2 linked regions of the Medicago truncatula genome follow. The protein of the gene in region 1 binds, or shares a complex with, the protein of each later gene. Links are inferred from orthologs where the notes say so. Each region holds a gene or a part of one and is shown in the gene's direction. Other genes may lie near its edges. The genes, in order: NAD(P)H-quinone oxidoreductase subunit S, chloroplastic; NAD(P)H-quinone oxidoreductase subunit N, chloroplastic.

Region 1 (5,967 bases):
TCTTGGAGCTAATTTGGCTCATGTGTTCTTGTGTTGTCTGGAACGAACGAAACAACCGACTGTTTAATAATATTGTAACCTTAGTCCCTTGTATGTTAGATAAAGTTAAATTGTTATCTTTGGGATGGCTGAAAGCCAAAAATGTCATGTTTGTATTTGGCCAGAGATGGTGGTCAAGTTGTTTAGCTTGTTTGAGCATTGGCTAACACCGATGGTGTTCTCGTGTAGTTGTTAACATTCCTTGTTGTACTTTAGGAGGTTCTAGACACACCTTATGCTTGGAAGCTACTATTTGGTTTGGTTATATTTAATTCTCTCTTGACTTGTTAAAAAAAAAAAACCTTTGTTCAATTTATGTTTTTAATTCTTACAAAATTACAAGCTTTCAAATTGAGTTATTACAAAAAATTATTCATTTTAATTTCTATTTTTATTTATAGGGACTATTTTAAAGAACTAAAAATATAAAATATTTTCAAAATAAAAACTATTCTTACAAACTATAATATTTTGAAGTTCACGTGAACTTAACTGAATTGATATGAACAATGCATTATATATGTAAGGTTCGGGAATCGAACTCCGACCACCACAAAAAAAAAAAACTATAATATTTTAAAGAATTAAAATCACCATTAAAATTTTATAAACATTAAATTTGAAAACTCATGATTTTGTAGAGACTAAAAACACGATTAAAAAGAAAATGTACCCACAAACATAGGCCTAATCCTACGAAAATGTAAAAAAAAATAATAAAAGAATTCAGACACAAAACATTGACCATTACAATTACTACAACGTGAAAGCAATCAAAAGTAAACAAAAAAGAAACAAGAAGAGAAGTGATGAGTAAGAAGAAGATATTGATTGTGGGAGGCACAGGTTACTTGGGTCAGCATCTATTACAATCTTATTATTCTAATCAATCTCTGACAGTGGCATTCACCTATCACTCTTCTCCTCTTCTTCAACCTTTGTTGGATGCATTTCCTGATTCTCAATCTTTCCAAGTCGATTTGAAATCTGGCATTGGATTTGATGCCATTTCCAATGCTTTTGGCCAGGTTCTTTTCTCACTTTTCTAACTTACAATTCAATTGGGTCGTGACAAAACATGATTTTTATTAATGGGCTTGATCTGATTCATTGCAAATTGTAATATGACTTACTGATTTATACGGATTAGTTTGTTTAGTTTATCTACCAGTTTATGATATGTGCAGAAGTTGTTTTCAACTTATTTTCATAAGCTTGAACCAGGATAACTTATGAAAACAGCTTATAGCTTATATGAAAATATATTTCTTTTTTATATAAATATTTTATACAAAATCACTTTTGTGATAAGAGATTATACTATAAGCACCTACTTAAACTGTTTATCCAAACATGTTAGTGTATGTAAGATTGAATTGAAGTCGTATATGCTATGTTTGAGATAACAATTTAGTCTAAATTTACCAAAAGTACTTTTACAAGTTGGAAAATCAATGCAGTTTACTTTTTAAAAATATTTTTTATTTTTCATAAATTTGTGTTAGTTTTACTTTTTTTTTAACAAAAAAACAAAATTCGCCCACCGTGGGGCTCGAACCCACGACCACAAGGTTAAGAGCCTTGCGCTCTACCAACTGAGCTAGACGGGCTTGGTTGTTTTTGTTTCACTTGTTAATAAAGAGAAAGGAGAATGTTTGAACATGTATTCTTACTTCCAAAAATGCATATCACCCTAGCTACTTTTTTTTATTTTTTTTTATATCATCTCTTCATTACATTGACTAACTTCAAAATCAAAAGTTTCTCATCTTCTTATTAGTAAGTTAAAGTGAACATGTCTTCTTATTTGCTAGTTAAAAATGAACACATTTTATCTTCCATTCACCCTAAACATGCACTTCCTCCATTAGCAGCCCTTACTTTCATTCATACTTGAAGTTGAATTTAATTAAAAAAGGGTTTTTCTATCATCTGCAAACTTGCACATGTTAAGAAATTTAAAGTAGTAAGTTTGTATTGGAACTTGAACATTTTATATTAAATATATAACTTTTTAATAAATACTTGTGGTTTTTCAATAAAAAGTTGCTACTTTTAGTTTCTTTAACATGTGCAATGTTGCACATGTTAGACAAACCCATTAAAAAAATATAAATCTAACGCTACATGCTTTTGAAGTTTCAGAGTTCGTGTTTATATAAGAAAAAGGCTGTTATCTCCTTTACCTCTCAATTTGATAGTCACTCATTATTCTTGCTATACCAGTATGAAAATGGATTTGTGTGCTACGCAAACGCATGTATCTCGCAGAAATAAAGAGATAAAGCATGTTTGGTTTGGTCTTTTATGTAACAAATTTTCAAACATCTATAAGTTGGATAGATGCCAGTTGCTTACAAATAAGAGTTTAAGCTTTTAATATTGGATTGACAATTCTCTGTTTGTTTGTTAATGGCAGCCTGATGTGGTTGTCAATTGTGCTGCCATCTCGGTGCCTCGTGCTTGTGAAAATGATCCTGATACTGCAAATGCTATTAATGTGCCGTCATCCCTCGTAAAATGGTTGCAAAGCTTTAAACAGAACAGTACTCTTCTCATTCATCTCTCCACAGATCAAGGTAAACCAATCTAATCGCAATCAATACATTGCATTGCTATCTATAACCATGCTCATTTTCACTTTGATAGCTAAACTGCAATTTATGTTTCTTCTCATTAGTTTACGAAGGTGAGAAGTCCTTTTACAAGGAAGAAGACATTCCTATTCCAGTAAATGTTTATGGAAAAACTAAAGTGGCAGCAGAGAAGTTCATTTCAGAAAACTTCCCAAACTTTGCGATTTTGAGAAGCAGTATCATCTATGGGCCACAAACTGTCTCACCAGTTCCAAAATCTCTTCCTATTCAGGTGCATGTGCAGTATATAGAATTATACTTTATTTGAAAACTAATGCTTCCAGCATTAGGATCGATGAAACTTGAAATGTGAATGATGCTTGCAAATTCTGTTACTTATTGCATGATGAATTCTTAAAAGACGGTGGTAGTGTTTGGCTCACCATTTTTCCGTCTGCAATAAAAAAAATAACTGAGAAAATCTCTTATTATTGCAGTGGATTGACAGTGCCCTTTCTAAAAGAGAAAAGGTGAATTTCTTTCACGACGAGTTCCGTTGTCCAATTTTCGTTAAGGATCTCGTAACTATCATACTAGCTTTAACAAGCCAGTGGTTATCAGGTACAGAACTTTTTGTAAATAACTCGTGTATATTGTTTAAACATGTGGTACGCTGCAAAAAGAGATTCTTAATGAAACTGATTTTCAGTTAGATCTTTTTTAAGGTTTCAAAACACTTTTATTGGAGATGGTCAATCCTTATCTATGAAAATTGTTTATATCTTATAACTCTTTTACAATTATGTACGACATTTTCACTTTCATGTGTTCTTTAAACTTGAGGGGTCTCAAATTCGCTTTCATGATTTGATTTCTGATTCTTGTCACAGAGGGAAAGCAAATGCAGTTGTTACTTAATGCCGGTGGACCTGATAGGGTATCGCGCGTTGAAATGGCTGACGCTGTTGCACAATTCAGAGGGTATGATACCTCATTAATCAAAGCAGTCTCTGCTTCAACGGTATGTGTTATGCTTCATTTATAACTAAAATTTTGTGATGTGGAATTCAAAGCTTTTCATTTATCTTTTGATGTCAATTTGATCAGTTTGGTAACATGATATGATTTATCTGCTCGTCTTTGATTGTTCTTTATTGCGACATTTTTGAGTTTTCGTTATTGTTTTTCCAGGTTGACCGAGGTGTGAAGTCCCCGGCTGACATATCTATGGATATCACTAGATTGGTTCAAACTCTAAATATTAATCCTGTTTCATTTAAAGACGGTGTTAAATTAACGCTTACAACTGAAGCTCAACAGTGAGGCAGAAACAAACTTGTCGTATAAGGCTTCCTTGTTTATTTGAGTATCGTTGTTCACCATTAAAAATGACATGTGCTCTCAATAGTTGTTACTGCATTTAGATTGCTGTAAAATAAATCTATGTAAATTCTTGAAAATACCAAGAATGGAAATAGTGGGTCATCATTGTAACACACTCTTTCCATCATGTGTCATTATCATGGGAATTATGTCATACTTTTCATTAGGCTTGAAAATATGTTGCCTTGGCTTTTCACTGCTATAATTTCTCATGATAAATTGTGTGTTTGGATTACTTTAATTTGATGCTAAAATGAATTTAATCATAAGGTTATGTTGCAAAAAAATTCTTTCCTCATATAGGCAAATTTGGTCCAAAGAATATACTTTGTGGTCAAGATTAAATTGGAAGAAGATTTTCTGATAGTTTTTCATTTCATAAAAAGATAGGCCTATCCAATAATTTTGTGGCCAGGATTAGATTCTGAAACTATGCTATCCATCCCTCTTTCTCCTCTCTCTAATGTTGTTTTCAGCCAATTTTCTGAACAGTTAATTAAAAATGTCTTCCTTTGTTGCTCTTCATAGCCTTCATGGCTCTCTTCTTAGATCCAAATTCTTAGGCCAAGAGAACCTCACTCATCTTTATCCTCACAGCAATAAAGCTTCCATCTTTCACAGCAAACCGACCTTCAAAACAGTACAAACATGTGCCAAATTCGACTTGCTGCAGATCATGGGAGGCAGAGGTCTCTGCAAAGGAGAAGAAGGTCTTCAAAAAGAGCTTAAAAGAGAAGTTGGTCTTGATGATCAGAATCAGCCAACATCATCAGAAGCAAGTGACAAAGAACAAGAAGACTCAACAAGTAACTCAACAAAATCCTTTGAAAGTGTTGCAGAAGACGGGTTTGATAAAGAGTTAATGGGGTTAACCGGAGGATTTCCTGGAGGTGAAAAAGGTTTGAAAAAATTCATTGAAGAGAACCCTCTTCCTAAAACTGTTAAAGGAAACAAAAGCCTTAAACTTTCTTCATCGGAGAAGCCAAAACCACCGGAACTTCCTATGTTACTTCCAGGAATGATTGCTATTGTGAAGAATCAAAATAATCCTTTTTACATGTACTGTGGTATTGTTCAAAGAATCACTGATGGTAAAGCAGGAGTACTGTTTGAAGGAGGGAATTGGGATAAGTTGATCACCTTTAGGCTTGAGGAACTTGAGAGAAGAGAAAAAGGTCCTCCTATGAAGAATCCTAAGTCTTGCGTTCTTGAACCATTTCTTGTAAAGAAATCATAGTTTTCAGCTCTTTGTTGTTATTGTGTAACAAAACATGTTCACTTTTGTATCATACTACATGTTTCTGACAATTGAATCTTAGTTGTGTATTTCATTTGCTGCTTTGATCTTTTATTTAGAAGTAAAAAAAGTTTAAGGTAAAAAGATATGAAGCACACATGTAGTAGACACTACGTTGACACAGACATGTTAAAGTAGTAATAATAATTTGAAAAATAAAAGTAATTAAATGTAACTACATATGTTAGTGTCGGACACTGGACACCTTTGATGTGACGTTGGTGCTAAAAGAGTATTTCATTGTGCTGAACCTTTCTTAATACTCTTTAATTTTGGTACATGTTCATGTAAAGAATGGATGGAGTATTAACAACTTACGGTTTCTGTTAAGAACAAAATCAGTTTATGTGCTACTTTCAAAGTTATTGCAATAAAGTCAAATATTGTAATGATATGATAATTTTGAATGATTATCGATATTGTTATTGTTTAATTTTATATAAGATTGATGATTTCAGGATTAAATTATTGAAAAAATATATTTTAGGATTAAACCTTAGACGAAATTTAATGATTCACTTATTAGAAATAAACATATTCTCTTGACCAAAAAAAAAAAAAAAAGAAATAAACATATTCAACGTTAATCAGTTGGATCATGATATTGGATTAAACAATAATTTTAATATGATTAAATAGTCAATTACCCCCTGGAATTGTAACTTTCGTCAA
Region 2 (7,821 bases), on another chromosome or scaffold:
AGGAGACGAGTTTTTCCAAAGTATTCGCTCAACTTTTAACCTCATATGACCATTTTGTGTGTGAGTGATTTGGATTGAAAGAAATGCTCGGGTCTTTCATCAATAAGAGACCTCGCCTCATCAATTACTCGACAAAATTAAGCTTTAATCATACTGGTGGCTGAAAGAGAACCGTCCTAGCTTTGCTTTCTCTTACCATTTGTCGTGGTTGAATCATTTACCATGTTTAGTTATCTATCTGTAATGAGGTGGCTTTGTTCTTTGGTCCTTTTGTATTTGTTACTCGTTGTGTAGTAATTGTTAAAACAAAAACAAAAACTCTTATTTTCAGAATAAAATTTATATTAAATGATTCTTTAATCGGTGTTCTTAGGACACTAGTAAGCAGAACCTTTACTTTATAGGATAGAATACTACTTGATTGACAATACTGATTAATATTCCAGTTTTACAGCGTGCTTGATTCAGCTTGAATGTTGAAATTAAATATTGGATGAAGGTGCACAATGCATGCAACTGGCATTAGAAAATCACCCTTAATCTTTGTTTTTGTCACGACAGAGGTTGGAACTTTTTTTGAAAGGGACGGAGTTGGAACTTGAAGCTGCAACGTTCTACTTTGTTGACATTCGTGATGTTTTGTTTTTGCTTTTTTCTCTCAAATTAAATCATGTCTATATATTTGTCGCAGAAAGTTTTTCAAAATATAGTTGCAGAGATTGACCAAGCTCCATATAATTACTTGACTGCGGTAGAAGCATGGCCGTTTTATAAAATTTGGTGGTTTAGAGCGAATATACGGTTTGAGTCATAAATTATGAGTATATAAAAATAATTAAATTTTCAAAGTATAAAAATAATTTGTTTTGAAGATGATAGTTTTTACCACGTTAAGAAATGACCTTACAAAAATTCAAAATTCATAAAAAAAATTGAGTTTTTTATTTAATATTCAAATGCTTATACAAAACATTTCATACGGGGAAATATACTTACTTGGGCACAAGTCAAAATAAATATATTTGGGCATGCACACAAAACCATAAAAAAATATAAGAGAATAAAATTGAATAATGTCAATATTGTTAAAGTAATTTCGTACTTATTTTTTGGGGCATAGGACGGTCACCCTACTCACTCTACCTCAGATACGGCCTGGGCGGAGGACAACATTCCTTTGGTGAATAATCAGGTTTGATTTGCTTAAACTAATTTTTTTTTTTTTTTTTTTGCGGTTGTTACTAAACCATGTTCCGACTAAGGATAACTTGGTAAGGCGGAAGATTTTTCCTCAAAATGATCAATATTGTTCAGCAGGCTGCGGTTTAATAGAAGACATGGATCGCCTATTTGTTAAGTGTGATTTATATGGAAGAATTTGGTTTCTTATTTCAAGTTGACTAGGCTTCTCAACGTCATCTCATGAGAATTTATTGGATCAGTGTTACTGTAGTTTGTTAGGTTCGGAGCTATTCGAAAATTGTTAGCTTGACACTTAGTGTTATTTATACTTCTATGGTTTGGATCATTTGGAAAGAGCGAAATATGTGTATTTTCCAGCACATGGTGGAACATTTACAATAATTAAGTGAACAATTTAAGCTTCAATCATTCTAGTGTTTAAAATCAAAATATGTTGCTTTTAATTTTGACAACCATCTTTGGAGGCTGAATCTTATTCTTTGTTTAGTTGTTGTAATTTACTCGTTTCTTCTCTTTTGTTGCTTTGGTTTGATTTGTAATATCACTTTGTTTTTTTATAAATCTTTTCGGTACATTTTGTGCTAAAATGTCTTATCTTAGTTGGTAATATATTTCATTTGAACCTTTAAAAAAAGAAGTTAAAGTATTACCATCAATTAAATAAATAAGGGTCTTGTTAACGAGTGCTCCCGGGACACTCTTTAAGGATTTTAAGAGAATAAATTATTTCATAAAAAGTCAAATATTTTGATTTTCGATGCATTGATTACATAAATTTTCAAAAAAAGTTACCATATAAAAGTCTCAAAGAATGTCTCGGAAGCACTCGTTAACATTTCCCAATAAATAAATAAATAAATAATTAGAGCGTATTATTAATAAAGCAATAGTTAAAGTTGCATTGACCTTTAAACAAGATAAATAAATAAGAACAAAATTTCCAAAAATGGTACTTAAAAAGAAATAGACGGATTATGATTAAGAATTAAATAGATTTTTTTTTTGAAGAAGATAAAATGGAATATAAAATCAAAAGCATGGAAAATCAGCATAAGAAGTGCCAAAAATCAACCGAATAGATTAATTGAAAGCATCCATTGCTTAAATGCTCAAGAGGGTGAAAACATATTCTTTGTGATGGTTGAAGACTCATAAACACAATTTTGGTTTTGATCTTTATGATTGTCGGACGAATCCTTCGTATGTTTAGGATTTATCACCTTGTGTTGTCGTTATAGGCTCTTTATCTTCTTCCTTTTCTATTTCGGTTTTTTGTGACACTGTTGTGAGCCATTTTTAAGCACATCTTAGGTTTAACTTCCTTCTCTTTTTGTTTTTTATTATATATATTGATTCTCTTTTAGCTTCTTAAAAAAAAATTGATAGATTAAATTTGTATTTTAATACATCGTTGTTTTCTATGTTTCATTCCACTAAAAATAATATTGTTTAAGACATATCAGACACTAAATATTAATACATCTTTTAATCGGGATTCATTCAAATTTTGGCACACAATGATGTGATAATAATATAACTCTTTTGCTAAACTCAACTTGTTGAATTGTGATCTCCATAATTCAAACATATGAAGATGTTTATATGAATATTATCAACATTACTAGTTTTTTTTGACAAGATCAAGATTACTAGTTGAAATAGGTTTTACATATGTAAAATATTGTCTTTTTTATTGCTACTTGCGGTGGGTTTATTTTAAGGCTCCACATACGTTGTTACGAGTACCATTTTAGGTTTTTAAAATGGTCTTCTTCTTGAGGCAATACTTAGACCTTAGTTCGAATATACTAGAATATTATCAGTGTAACTGAACTCACTTAAAAACTAAACCAGTTCCTCGAAAAGTTCGAGATGCAAGTACAATTGAACATATCGTTCACTTTTTGACCTATTATTAGTATATTACGTAGTAATTTTTAATGGTTGATGTTCGTGAAATGGATTGGACATGTTCCCCTGGTTTTTCATGTAATTAAATTATAAAGTTCTATAAAACCTCTAAATAAACATTACTATAAAGTGCTAGAGTCTGTTAAGATTTATTATTCTATTATTAGTTGAAAGTTGATGTCATTACTGATGCAGGACCACTTCTTCATGTTTATCCGTCAGTTACGTTAGTAAAAAAATTTATCAGAATCTTAGGAGTGTTATTTAAACAATTAATTTGGTTGATAATTTGTGGGACAACATAATTTACAAAGAAATAGTAGGAAGTTGCACAAAAATCAAAGTAATAAAAAGATAAAGTAAAAGATAATAGAAATATAAGAGGGAAAGTTGTCACATGTTCAAATATCATTTTTATTCTATTATTGGTTGAAGGTTGATGTCTAGGACCACTTTTTTGGATGATTTGAATCACTTCTCCTTCACCGTCACCATTCAGAACCATAATCAATTTTTTTGTCTAATTTAAAATACGCAGTGCCGCACGTGGTAAATCAGCAAAATCATTTTATTTAGGAGAGCGAAATTTTAGACTTGGCACCGTTTAACACATATAGTTGCAGTTTACTACAACAATGAAAATTTTGGTTTGTTTATGATCAATGTTGGTGTTACGTTATTTGATTTAAAGGAAAAATTGAGTGATTATTTCAACGATGTTGCTATAAGAAGTTTGGTTAGTGTTGAGTATCATCCTCCGTTAATTGATTTAGATGAACACGTTCGATTCACTAAGATGAAACTTTAAAACGACGATGATGTGAAAACTGTTCCCTATATTTGATCAATATAGTTCCAAGGAACCAATCGAGATAGACGCTTCCTTATTGAGATCTATCAATATTTTCGGGTAAGTTTTATTGGTCTCAGGATATTTCAAGAAATTGTAGCGTGCATGGTTGAACCTAATTAAGAAACTAGCTTGCCTTGTCCATGATCTTGTTTGTGTTTAACCGATGTTTTTAATTTTTGTTGTTGTTGTTGTTATTGTTATTGTTGATGATGATGGTGATGAATTACATTGTTGAATTTTATTTAATGGAGTGTTAGTCATGTTTTTTCATGGTTTCATTATGCATATGGATTATGAAAACACATTTTGGATTCTAAAATTCAAATGGAGGTATTTTTGAAAAAAAGAAAGAAGAAAGGTGCCCAAAAAGTATGGGGAAAAAAAAATCACAACAAATTGGCATGTAATAAGGATGCATTCACTTCCTTAAAAAAAAATAAAAATAAATAATGCACTTGATATAAGAAATTATAAAAACTTAAATTATCCTATAATTTTAGTTCTTACTATTTAGGTTGAAATATCTATTCATAACGTCAACTTATAATAGTAAGGATCAATTACTAAACGTCAAATTAGAATAGTCAAACAAATAATTTTACATATGTAATAGTGGTAAATTTAGTAGTATAAATACCACACTTTGATTCATGTAAACGTGCATCATTTTTGAGAAATCAAAACATATCATCCTACTTCCTTCTCTCTTGATTTTCTTAATCTGATAAATCCTAGTACTATATATTATTTGAAGTATTATAAATTAAAGTAGTACTTAATATCATTTTATTAGTTCACTAATATCATAAAATAAGTATTTAAATATCTAAATCTTTAACAACACTCACTTTTTTTATACTAAAGGTGAAAACAAATAATAAGAGTGAATAAGTGAATAGTTTCACTACATGATGATATGCCACTATCTCTAATTGAAGGTTACAAGTGAAGACAAGACTTTATCTCATTTCTCCACCATACAACTAATATCATTCATCCTCAGTCTTAATTTCCAATTTCTAACCAATGTTTCTTTATCTTTCAACTTACGAAGAAATAAAAAAAAAAATGTACATTATTCAACAATAAATTTCTTCATTAGCACCAAAGAAAGAAACAAAACAAAAATGTTAGCCTCTGCAAGCTTAGGTTGTGGAGGACCAACATGCTCTAACATTCAGCAACCACCAAGGAACAGCTTCATGGCTGAAAATCATAACAACAGTGTAAGATTGATGATGGGTTGGAGAGGAAAACAATGTAACAGTAACAGAAGTAAAAGGGTAGTGAAATGCAGTAGTGGAATAGGATTAGGTGACTTCATTGGAGGAGATTTGGTTAAATTTGATATTGGACGTTGGCTTTCAGATGTTGAAGAACATAAAGCACTTGCAATATATACTCCTCATGAAGGAGGGTATGAAGGACGTTACTTATCGCGTCTTCAACGTCAAGGTTACTATTTTCTTGATCTTACAGCTCGTGGTCTTGGTGATCCTGAAACCACTCTCACCAAAGTTCACCCTGTTTGCCCTGTAAGTACATACCTTGTGTCTCTTTTCTTATTAATTTTATGAACGAACGAAATTGACCTAGGGAAAACATATTTGAGGACTAAATTGACTACCTAAAAATAGATTCGAGTATCAAAATGAATGATAAAAGATACTCTTGTGGGCATGCTTGCAATTTCGATACATTTAGAAACTATATAGTGATATATATAGCGCCTCACACATATTCAAGAACCAAAATAGTTGTTTGCTCCTTTAAAATACTTTTTCGGCTTTTAATGATTAATAGCTATTATTACCAATGTAGTACATACCAACACTTAAGATTGAAAGTGTGTCTGGCATGTGTCACTGTATGACATCAATAGTACAACGATACATGTGGTGTGGTTACATTCTATAACTTTCATTTTCTCAAACTGTTATTAGTTTCTACGTGTAAGTGTCAATGTCGTGTCTAATGAATGTTTCTGTCTTAGTGCTTCATAGATTATTACTCAAGTTTACACTACATGGAATTTTTTCATGAATCCCAGGCTCATTTAGGAAAGCAACCAATAGCAAGGTGGTATTTCCCACCAGAAGTTGATTACAGATTGGAAGCATTACCACCAAATGCCAAAGGACTGGTGGTGTGGATCATTGAAGCTAAGGTGTGGATTATGCTTTACTTTTATTACATTAAAATACCCCTCACATACTTAAAACAGAATGATTATTGCTTTTATGTTTTCTCATATTGAAATTTATTATAAGTACACCATCTCAAAATGCTTTTAGATGAAGTAGGGTGAATTATTTGTATTATTATTATATCTCTAGGACAATGCACAAACCCACCTATTTTTTTTGAATGGCTGCTGTACTAAAATGTTGCTTCGGATGTTGCTTAGGTTCTCTCCAAGGCTGAACTACAATTCCTTGCTCTGCTGCCAACACTAAGGCCTAATGTGAGGGTCATTGCTGAATGTGGAAATTGGTAGGATGCCAAATTTTCTAATAACCTTTTTGTAGATTTTACAGTTTTTATTCTTCTTTGCTTATTTCTTTTGATATTTATCAGTGCTCTCTGTTGCAAAACTTGTGCTTGAGGACTCCAATTTACTTCAGTTTAAATTTCCACCTTTATATGCAAGGTCTAGTTTGGATTAACATCTAGCAATAAGAGCTTCTCCACAATGAAATCTCATTCTAATGTTTGTTTATGTGAATGATCAGGAGAAAGTTTATGTGGAAGCCGCTAAACGAAATTGCTGGACTAACCACTAGTCAGGAAGCTTGATAGATGATGATGCATTTGATTTTCCAAGCATCAACAACCAAGTAGGAATATTTTCATCTGTCTTCAAGCTTGAACTTCCAACTCAAGGCACTTTGCAGATAAGAAAATACACCAAAAGATATATAACGATGAATGAATATCATTGTAAATAATTAGATTTACCACAACCATGAGTGATATGTACATTCTCAAGGTTTAATTTTGTCATGGCACAAACATTTTCATCAAAGATGATATTTCAAGAAATTATATAGATTTGCAATGTGACATTTCTAGATGTGAAAAAAACACTGGTTTGAATGAACTAAATGGAAGTTTTGCAGTAATTTGACCAACTATAAAACCAAACGTCCTTCGTTCTTTTTGTCTTCATATGAATATGAATTAATTTGCCCTCACATCACAATAGATTAATTATGTTTTGGTCCCTGTGAGCTTAGCTCGGCTGGTAGGGACATCGCATAATTGATTGCGCTTGTGCCGAGGTGCTAAAACTTTGCACGGGTAGAATCCCAGTCCTGATATGCAAACTAGTAACCAAAACTTTCATTCCGAGTAAACCATCAAAACGGCTCCTGATTCTGTAAGGTAGTGACAAGTTAGTCCCTAAAATTATTAATATTTTAAAAAAAAAAACCCGGCTTTGCTAATTGAACTCTTACTTTTATAACTTACCTTCATATTTAAATTGGTCTTCTACATTTAGTCCATTACTACAATAATTTCAATCTATCGAATTACGTTCGAAAAAGACTAATCTGCAAGACAATTTGCAAGGTCGAGGACATATTTGAATTATTAGCAGTCTTAGAGACTAACTTTGTGTCATTCTGCAAATCCTGTCCATCATTTTGATTCTTATGGCTGAGAATAAACTAATTTCAAAATACTATGAAACAAACAATAACTAATTAAACTTGTTTATTGTGGCATAAAATGCAGCTAACAATGGTTATTCATGAATCCTCGCGCCTTTATTCAGCTGTACCTTTATTGTCAAGGAATGTTTTCAAGGACATGAAATTTGGGAATATTGATGTCCCTAAGGGCACTGAACT

What was found.
Region 2: NAD(P)H-quinone oxidoreductase subunit S, chloroplastic (region 1) and NAD(P)H-quinone oxidoreductase subunit N, chloroplastic share a complex: the UniProt entries of both Arabidopsis thaliana proteins name them as parts of the chloroplast NDH complex. The link is inferred for Medicago truncatula from reciprocal best matches to the Arabidopsis thaliana genes NdhS and NdhN.

What each region holds. Positions count from the first base shown.
Region 1 is NC_053049.1:12,186,426-12,192,392, reverse strand, and holds NAD(P)H-quinone oxidoreductase subunit S, chloroplastic, read left to right. Parts: upstream 1-4,253; 5' UTR 4,254-4,500; coding exon 4,501-5,235; 3' UTR 5,236-5,329; downstream 5,330-5,967. Other genes in the region: methionine adenosyltransferase 2 subunit beta, read left to right, coding at 849-1,067, 2,459-2,618, 2,720-2,907, 3,113-3,236, 3,506-3,636, 3,807-3,938. UniProt on the Arabidopsis thaliana protein: NDH shuttles electrons from NAD(P)H:plastoquinone, via FMN and iron-sulfur (Fe-S) centers, to quinones in the photosynthetic chain and possibly in a chloroplast respiratory chain.
Region 2 is NC_053044.1:31,880,929-31,888,749, forward strand, and holds NAD(P)H-quinone oxidoreductase subunit N, chloroplastic, read left to right. Parts: upstream 1-4,956; 5' UTR 4,957-5,094; coding exon 5,095-5,502; intron 5,503-6,017; coding exon 6,018-6,134; intron 6,135-6,374; coding exon 6,375-6,460; intron 6,461-6,699; coding exon 6,700-6,763; 3' UTR 6,764-7,051; downstream 7,052-7,821. UniProt on the Arabidopsis thaliana protein: NDH shuttles electrons from NAD(P)H:plastoquinone, via FMN and iron-sulfur (Fe-S) centers, to quinones in the photosynthetic chain and possibly in a chloroplast respiratory chain.